2 linked regions of the Rattus norvegicus genome follow. The protein of the gene in region 2 interacts with the protein of the main gene of each other region in a biochemical or structural test. Links are inferred from orthologs where the notes say so. Each region holds a gene or a part of one and is shown on either strand. Other genes may lie near its edges.

Region 1 (4,884 bases), on a different chromosome or scaffold from region 2:
TCTTGTTGTCTTAACTATCTGTACTTTTTCATGTGTTTCCAAATGGAAAACAGCATAATATTCAGTTCTCTGAGGGGGAAAAAAACCCAAAAACCCCAAGAATACCTAAAAATGGTAATAAAATAAAGGACAAGCAGTGTTTAGGAAATTTATTTCAGGGAAACTGCCAGATTATTTTAAGCCCTATGCTTAAAAATAAATCTAATTCACATGACTGACTTAAAATACTGGGCCAAGAAAAGTCACTGCAAAAGCATTTAATGAAATACCTGAAGTTTGTCCCTGTTTTTTATTTTGGCCATGACTTTCTGTGAAGACTTACTTCCTAACTTGATTTACACAGTGGACTTTATAGCTAAACATTTCTTGTATCTAATAAAATGAAGAAGTAAAAAATTTCCAACAATGTATTGTTTCCCTAATTGGTCCCCTTGCTGATGTATTGTTCAGATGCTATGCATTGCTATTTCAATATCGGGACATTTGTTTTATCTGTAGTATTTTTCAGTGTGCAGTGAAACATATCCACATGTCAACCAGAAATCTTTCATTTGACCTATGATGAAACCCAAGGGTTGATTAGAAACAAATACAGGTTGGACTCCGCAGAAGGCAGGGAAAAACATAATCAGAAACCTTTTTCAGCCTGTCTCCCTACATTAAGTGAAAAACTGAATTAGGAAATGCCCATTATTTTCATATCCTTCTTTATTTGTAATAAAAAAAAACCCTCTTTTTAAAGTTTTACTAAATGCCCTGCAGTTGTGCATCTTAAAGACAGGACAAAACTACAAGTTGCTGTGAGAAACGAATAGAAATAGCTTACAAACATCGATTTTCCTATGACTTTTCCCCCTTTAATTAAACTGCATTTGACTTCTATTGATTCTGTCTTCCAGAATCAACATTTTAAGGCTCCCCTGACACACAGGGTTTGGGAACACTGAATGCATGGTGATTTTCCCACTGAATCTGCGTGGTGGGCATCAAGGAGAGCCCACCAGAATGCTCCGGAAAAATCCAAACTCCACTGGTGCTGAATAACTTTCAGGTACCGTCAGAAGCAAAGCACCCTCCTAGCCCGCAAAAAGTATCTATCAGTGATAACAAGCGCCTTCTTTTCCTGTCAGAAGTCTCCCGACCAGAGGCCCAATGGAAGCAAATCTGGGGCGCCTGCCAGCTCAGCCACCAGAGGCTGGGAAACGTTCCCTCCTCCCTGTCCTCCACTGGGTTTCCGACTTCTCTTCGCCCTCCGCCTGCCAGGCCCCGCCCGTGTCCGGCTCCGCCTCTCTCCCCTCCTTCCTGTCGCGACCCGGCCAGCCCCGCCCTGGCGGGCGTCTGCGTGCGCGTGCGCGAGCGCGAGGCCCGCTCGCTCCCCTTCCGAACGCCCGCGCCGCGCATGCGCACTGCGCGCCGGCGGTCCCCGTTTGTTTGAACAGGAAGGCGGACATATTAGTCCCTCTGAGCCCTCCTCGCCCCACCCCCCAGGCATTCGCCTCCGCGACTCGCCCTTTTCCCAGCTCGGACCGCGGCCCCTCCCAGAAGCTCCCGCATCAGCAGCCGCACGGACCCTCTGGTCGCCTTCCTCATCGGCCCGCTCCAGCTAGTCTTCCTCTGAGACTCCCTCGGGCCACCGACCTCACCCTGCCCGGCCGGACACCGTAACCCCAGCAGCGACCGGATAAAATGGGAGAGTGAGCCTGTTCTGTGGAAACCAGCTCTTGGCCGAGGATAAATCAGTGCGTCTTACCGGGCCGAGTGGAACCCGGGATGCAGGGCTAGACAGCCGCTAGCGCCTTAGAGCGGAGCGGGGCCGGCCCGGGGCCCAGGCGGCAGCTGGCGCAGCTCCTCACCCGCCCTTCGCTTTCGCCTTTCCTCTTCGCCCTCCCTGGCTGCCCCGAGGGAGTCTCCACCCTGCTGCGCTCCCTCTTCCCGCCGCTGCCCTTCTCTGGACTGGGCCCCGCCATGGCGAAGGCAGCCGGGGCCCGCTAGGCTGAGGTGCCTCGCCGGAGCGACCGGGCTGCTGGCGACGGCGCTGTCGGCTGTCGCGAGGGGCTGCCGGGTGGGATGCGACTTTGGGTGTCCGAGCGGCTGCGGGTCGCTGTCACCCCCAGCCTGGGGTCTAGAGAGCAGAGGTCCCCTCAGTGAGGGGAAGGAGGGGGAACCGGGCGCACCTGGTGACCCCGAGGTTCCGGCTCCTCTGCCCCGCGGCTACAAACCCACCGCGGAGGAAGTTGGTTGAACTTGCTTTCCGCTGCGGGTACGAAGGTATCGTCACAAGTAGCAGCATCATGTCGACTGGGGACAGTTTTGAGACTCGGTTTGAAAAAATCGACAACCTGCTGCGGGATCCCAAATCGGAAGTGAATTCAGATTGTTTGCTGGTGAGTGCTGCTGTTTTCTCTGGGTTGCCTTGGGTTGCTGTTTGCAGTCTAGTTAACTGCAACGAGTCTCAGGTGTGCATAGTCATCTTGGGAAGATGCCAGATTTCTCTTTTGCAAGAATTTTAGAGCGCCAGTAAATCTGTTGTTCACCCCCTCCCCTTTTTTAGCAATTTCAGTGATTCTCTGCTACCTACTCTGAAATTCTGGTTTTGATTCAGCTCGTCAGTCCACCGAGCATACCTAGAAAGTAAGATCGCAGCCTTTGTATCAGAAGGTTAACACGTCAAAGTTTATATTGTGTAGTTTGTTAAAAGACGGTCTTAGCATTAACCTCGCCGATTAGTTGGACAGTATTATTGAAAAATGTACTTTCTATTTATAGAATTAGGGAATTTATACTTGGACATGATAATGGAAAATTGATATTGAGGAAGTGATTTTTAAGATAAAAATTTTAGGTGTCTTGAGGCTAAAGAAACTGTTGAACGTTAAATGCAAACACCTACGACAACTAATCTTAGGCCAACACAAGTTTGGTGGCTTTTAAAACACTGTTAGTAAATATATTTCACATATATTAAGAATCGTTTTTTGTTGTTGGTGGTGGTGCTGGTGGTGGTGGTGGTGGTGGTGGTGGTGGTGGTGTGTGTGTGTGTGTGTGTGTATGGTAGTAAACTAATTATTGCCACTTTAAAAACATTCTAAAGTTTTTAGGTCACAAAAAGCCAAAATCCTACCATAAAAATTACCCAGTTGTTGATAGCAAAAAGAATTATTTGTAAACAATAGGCATTTGAGTACTGCCAATACAGTTATCAACGTAATTTCTCCGTTTACTACTAACTGAAAATTGTATACTAATATTTTTAGTTTTTAAACAATCACAAGATCTCAAATCATGTTTCAGTGTCTATCTGGACATGGAGATTTTAGAGAATTAGCGTTGTATACTCAATAGTTTGGAGATTTAAGAATAATGCCATTCAGAGAGAGAACATTGTAAAATTTTATACTGAATCAGGAAATTTTGTAGATTAAAATTAGTGTGTATTTCAGTTATTCTAAAGTATATTCAACTATTCTATACTTTTAATGTGTAAGGTTTCTCATTAAAGCTTTCAGAATTCCTCTAAACATACTTAACTATACATTGCTAATGTCCATGTCTGATGTAATTCTATAAGTTGTTCTTAGGTTTATTATTGTTATTAGTGGTCCTGACAGTTGAACCCAGCACATGTGAGGCATGCACTCCACCATCGATCTGCTCATCCTATTTTACTTTTCTGCTCCTCAGGTTAGGAAGGAGATTATAGGAAGGGCTTCGGAGCTTTCTTTTTTATTGCTAGTTTTCTCTCGTTACAGTATCATCAGTAGGAACCCGAGGAGAGTACAAAGGAAATAAATGCACAGTACATGGGCTCTTTAGAAAGAGTTGAATCTGCATAGGAAAACATTTTTATATACATGTGCAGAAACAAAGTAAGCAGTTTACAGATTGAGAAAACAACTGATTAATTCTAAATGATTATTCAGTATTTTTCAATCAATCATCTGTCTATATAATGGAAACTGAAGGGGAAAAAATTGCTGTGAGTTGAGAGTGCCAGAGTGTGCTTTATGATGAATTGGCTACTGAATTGAGGATAACAGATAGAGGGTGGATGGGCATCCATGAATGACCGTGACATATTTAGAAAAACAAGATAAAGTTGGGAGGATAGAGTTAGATTTGGAGAATTAATTAAGTGTAATTAGCTATCACAGAGTGAATGAAGATTAATCCAGTAGTTCTATGTAAGATAAGTTTGTATGGAAAAAGACTGGGAATAAGTGAGATTGGAGAATTTTCAGATTAACATAACAGTCCTCACTCAATTGGAGCCCTGAGCTAGGACATGACAATGAAGAAGGAAGAATTGATGGAACATGATTGAGTTGAAAGAACCCAGGGGTACTAGTCCAGTGACTCCAAAAATATTGAGCCTGAGTTCTATATATTAAAAATGGTGAAAATAATCAAGTTTGGGAATTGCTTGAGAATAGACCTACTGATATATTTTAAATTTGCTATATTTGCAAGATAGTGGTATAAGTGTGGAGAAATTGCCTGTAGACTATTGTAGATGTGGAATTAGACTTAAAATAGCAAGTAATGACTTGGAAATCATGTCTATAGAGTACAAATTGTAACTGATATAATGATAAGGGATAACCTAGAGAGAGATGAGATGATAAGGGTGGTAGATGAAGGTTGAATAAAGAGTCAAAGAAGCAACTTACTCAAGGTCTTCAGTGTTAAGGTAGCCAGGTACTAGGAGCACAAGACTTTAAAGGAACATTCAGAGAATGAATTTGATTACTTTTTCTGTTTTCATCTTATAATCTTGATTGTTTGAAAATTCCATTATCGAAAGTGACCATTGAAATTTTACTATCAGGTCACTGTGAACTTGACAGATTGGAATTTTCTTTGGAAACGATTCTGCTTTCCAGTTTT
Region 2 (4,343 bases):
ACCTCGTGGCCCAGTCCGGTCACGCCTGTTCAAGGACTGGAAGTTCAAGGCTAGGCTAGGCAGTGTAATGAGGCTTAAAACAAAGTAAACCTGGGGAGCTGGAGGAATGGCTCAGCAGGTAAGAGCATGTACGCTCATGCAGAGGACCTGGGTTCTGTCCTCAGCACCCACAGTGGCTCACAACCATCCACAGCTCCAGCTCTGACGCCCACACTGACCTGTGCCAGCACCAGGCACACACGGGGCTCACACGGGCTCACACAGGCACACACGGGGCTCACACGGGCACACACGGGGCACATACGTACATGGAGCCGAACACTCATACTCATAAAATAAATTATGGATAAATAAATAAGGGTTGAGCTAGGGAATAACCCAGTAATACAGAGCCTGCACAGCCTGCACCAGGCACTGTGTTCAACCAAAAGACAGGAGGGAGAGAGAAAGAACAATAATTGGGGGCAGTGGGGTGGGGGCGGAGAAAAGGTGAAGAAAACAAGAAATCTCGCATCAGCCACCATTTTATTATTAAGAAATCCCTGTTTATTTGGTCTCAGTCTTTTAAGTTTCATTGTTGTTGTTATTATTGACTTTTTATGTGTATGGGTGTTTGGTCTGCATGTACATCTGCATACCAGAGGAGGCCCTGGGACTAGAGTTATAGGTAGTTGCGAGCAGTCATGTGGGTGGCCGTGAGTAGACCCAGGTCCTCTGAAGAGCAGCCAGTGCTCTGACACTTTGAGCCATCCCCCCAGCCCTCAGCCATTATCTTAAACCCAGGGAGAGATTCTGGTGTGGTAACACACACCTTTAATCTCAGCACCCTCAGAGGCAGGTGGATCTCTGAGTTCAAGGCCAGCCTTGGCTACATGGTGAGCTCCAGGCCAGCCAAGGATATTAGAAAGACCTTGTCCTTAAGAATAAGAGAGGAAGGAAAGCAGAGGGGATGGAGGAGAAAAAGAGAGAAAACAACCAAGGGAAAGACCCCGAAATTACAGTGCACCTGTTAAGTGCACACTCACTGCAGACACTGCAGGCCAGGCTAAGGCGGGATTCGGGTTACAGAGGTGATGGTATGACCATAGCAGTTTAATTTATGCTGTTATGGTCGCCACAGACACCCTGAAGTGGGGCTCCAGGGGCAGACGCGCCGTCCCATGAACATCTCATTTGCACTGCCTCTGGATCACTGAGGCAGCTGCAGTGGCAATGAGGTGCTTCCTGCTCTGCACTCCCACCTGGCTCCCTAGAACCCGTTCTAGAAAGTTAGGGCCCAGTGTGCCAAACCCATGAAGTGGGGGCTGTCCTCATTTTGTCCCCCCCCACCCAGGTGAAAGTGATGCGAAGCCTGGACCACCCTAACGTGCTTAAGTTCATCGGGGTCCTGTACAAGGACAAGAAGCTGAATCTGCTGACAGAGTACATTGAGGGGGGCACCCTGAAGGACTTTCTGCGCAATGTGGTGAGCACGTGACCACAGTCGTGGAGGGAGAGCTTGTTGGGTGCTCAGGAACCTCAAGGGTTAGAGGGACCTTGTTTGCCCTCAATGGTGTGTACTGGGAGGGACTGGAGGGCTTCCACAGCACACATGCCGGCCACTAGAACCTACCAAAAGCTGTAAGGGCTCCTCACAGACATTCTCCTACCCTGCAGGACCCGTTTCCCTGGCAACAGAAGGTCAGGTTTGCCAAAGGCATCGCTTCCGGAATGGTGAGTCCTACCCAACAACCTCACGCATGTGTACAGTGAGGTGCAGGGATCGCAGGCTGCTGGGGAAGGCAGATGCCCATCCCGGGGCTGGGACACTCAGCAGCTGCCTACTGAGTTTCTTTCAATGCCAAGGAACTGTTGGCTCAAAACTCTCTTTCAGAGTACAATTCTATTCTCAAAGGATTCCAAATCCCCTTAACACCAAATGGCATGAACAAGGCAAACTGTAGCTCAGGTCTGTGGGACCTTACTGCCCACAAAATGAGGAGAAGGGGGAGAACACGAATTCTAGATGAACTCAGGAGAAGCCAGTACATTCAGGTCCTATTGAGCGCATTGTGGGAATGAGTCTAGCTGTCCTCACAGCTGACGGGTGCTAATGAAGTGACTATTCCACACAGCGGGGAGGGAGGGGCTGCACCCCACCTCTCCTTCCTCCAGTAACCGTGGTTTACAGGGAAGAAGTGAGGTAGAAAAGGAAAGGGCTGGGTCCTGGGCTTGTCAGTTCTCGGGTGGTCACCCAGCTCTAAAGAGAACAGGGCAGACAAGAGCAGTGCAGGCAGGAAGGGAAATGGTAGCACACAGGGGTCTCAGGAAAAAAGGGGTACATGGGAGATATAGACAGCCTTTGAGGAGGGGTGGGTAGACAGCCAGGCCATGTGTTTCAGCCATAGGAAAAGCTCTGTGGGCTTAGGAACAGTGAAGCAGTAGTACAGGGTAGGAAAGGGGGCAGTGTCACCCTCCACAGCTACAGGGAAAGGAAAGCCTAAGAAAGTAGCTCCTAAGAGTGACACGGGAATGTCTAGTAAAAATAGTTTAGAAATGGCTGGACAGGAAGAGGGAGGGGCTGAAGTACAGACAGAGGAGGAGGGCGTCTCAGGGGAGGTGAGTCAGGAGGTCATTTCTTCCCCACCAGGCAGGAAGATCCAAAGTAGCAGAAGCCAGACCCTGGAGGAGGAGGGAGGAACAGTGTGTTTGAGGGCGCTCACTTTAGATTGCCTCAATCTAAGTAAAGGATGAGGGACTCAGGGGCCAGCAGGGCTGGAGACTGTTGGGAAAACCTGGGCAGGAGTTGGCAGTTATCCGTTGGAGTTAGGATACAAGCTGTGGCTTAGGGGTAGGGATGGGAAGCTAAACAGGCTTGGCCTAGAAGACTGGAGTAGCTGGGTGTTGGGGGAGGGGAAGCTGGGTGGGCGTGGCCTGGGAACAGGCTCCATGGGTGGGCGTGGCCTGGGAATAGACTCCATGGGTGGGCGTGGCCTGGGAACAGGCTCCATGGCTCTGGCTTCTGTTGCAGGCTTATTTACACTCCATGTGCATCATCCACCGAGATCTGAACTCGCACAACTGTCTCATCAAATTGGTACGTCCCGCTGGGCTGGCCTGAGCTGCATGGGGCTATCCCTCTGGCTTCAGACCAGACACCACCTATGGGCTTCTATTTTGGGCGCTCGGCTACCTCAAGTGCCTTTTGCCACCCCCATCTTATGGAGGCTCTCAGACACACACATACAGGAACGATTTCACCTCCCTCCCCAGGAGCAGCCCTTGAAGTGATTATTATTAGAAGGGATTAGCTTCCCTGTCTGGCAGGCAGAAGGCCCTGGGCTCAATCCCCTACACTGATTTGGTGGGGCAGGAGTCTAGGTGTGGATGGGGGCTGAATTCCTTGTCTGTGGAGCTCTTGCCCTGTAGCAGGCCCTCAGACAGTCTGCTGATCCCACTTTACAACATGGACGACGGGCTGCAGGGTCTTTGATCCACACAGCCAGCACGAGGCCAGCGTTCCTCACACAGCCCTCAGATACAGTTGTTCCAGTGTTGTCTCCTGCCACTGCAACCCCCCTTCCTGCTACTGCCTCCCTAGCTCTCCCCTGTCCTTTACTGCCTTTTCTCTTAACCTATTCTGGCCACAAGTCCTTGTTAAGAACAAGACAAAGGGCTGAAGAGAGACAAGAAATCCTTACCCACCTGAGCTGCGCTCTGCAGGTCACTTCCCTGAGGCTCCTCCCCTGTTAGTTGGGGTCTGCTGTGGACAGATATCAGACTGACAAAAAACTCAGAGGCCCAGCCACCGCTTCTCAGTAGAGCTTTCTGGGGTGACTCTCCCCTGCTTTGTAACTTCACTCCCCTTGAAGGTGGTCTCCCTTGCCTATGCCCACACCCCAGGGACAAGTTAGAGAAGCCCACACCCTAGGTCCTGACCTGGCGCTTGTCCTCCCAGGACAAGACGGTGGTGGTAGCAGACTTCGGGCTGTCACGTCTCATAGTGGAAGAGAGGAAAAGGCCTCCAGTAGAGAAGGCCGCCACCAAGAAACGCACCTTACGCAAGAGTGATCGCAAGAAGCGCTACACTGTGGTGGGAAACCCCTACTGGATGGCCCCTGAGATGCTGAATGGTAAGTTCTGAATGCCTGGAGGGAAAAGAGCCAGAGAGAAGACAGCACCTATGTCTTAAAAAGAGTGCTGTAAGCTGGGAAGCATGTGACAGGAGCAGACACTCAGAGAGAGGGGGTGGGCGATCTTTCGGGCTTGGCCAAGTCAGGCCTCATAGACTTCTTTCCCAAACAGCTGGGAACAGCAACATGCCATCCTGGGTGGCAGGTGAGCTCTGAGGATCTTTTGTCTCC

The links. The genes of interacting proteins can lie anywhere in the genome.
Region 1: of the proteins of Limk2 (region 2) and Rock1, one has a biochemical effect on the other in vitro, tested with the Homo sapiens proteins (2 studies listed by BioGRID). The link is inferred for Rattus norvegicus from reciprocal best matches to the Homo sapiens genes LIMK2 and ROCK1.

The regions. Positions count from the first base shown.
Region 1 is NC_086036.1:1,505,694-1,510,577, reverse strand, and holds the start of Rock1 (rho-associated protein kinase 1), read left to right. Parts: upstream 1-1,430; 5' UTR 1,431-2,291; coding exon 2,292-2,384; intron 2,385-4,884. UniProt on the Homo sapiens protein: Protein kinase which is a key regulator of the actin cytoskeleton and cell polarity.
Region 2 is NC_086032.1:82,446,514-82,450,856, reverse strand, and holds part of Limk2 (LIM domain kinase 2), read left to right. Parts: intron 1-1,333; coding exon 1,334-1,465; intron 1,466-1,656; coding exon 1,657-1,713; intron 1,714-3,010; coding exon 3,011-3,076; intron 3,077-3,937; coding exon 3,938-4,112; intron 4,113-4,343. UniProt on the Homo sapiens protein: Serine/threonine-protein kinase that plays an essential role in the regulation of actin filament dynamics. Acts downstream of several Rho family GTPase signal transduction pathways.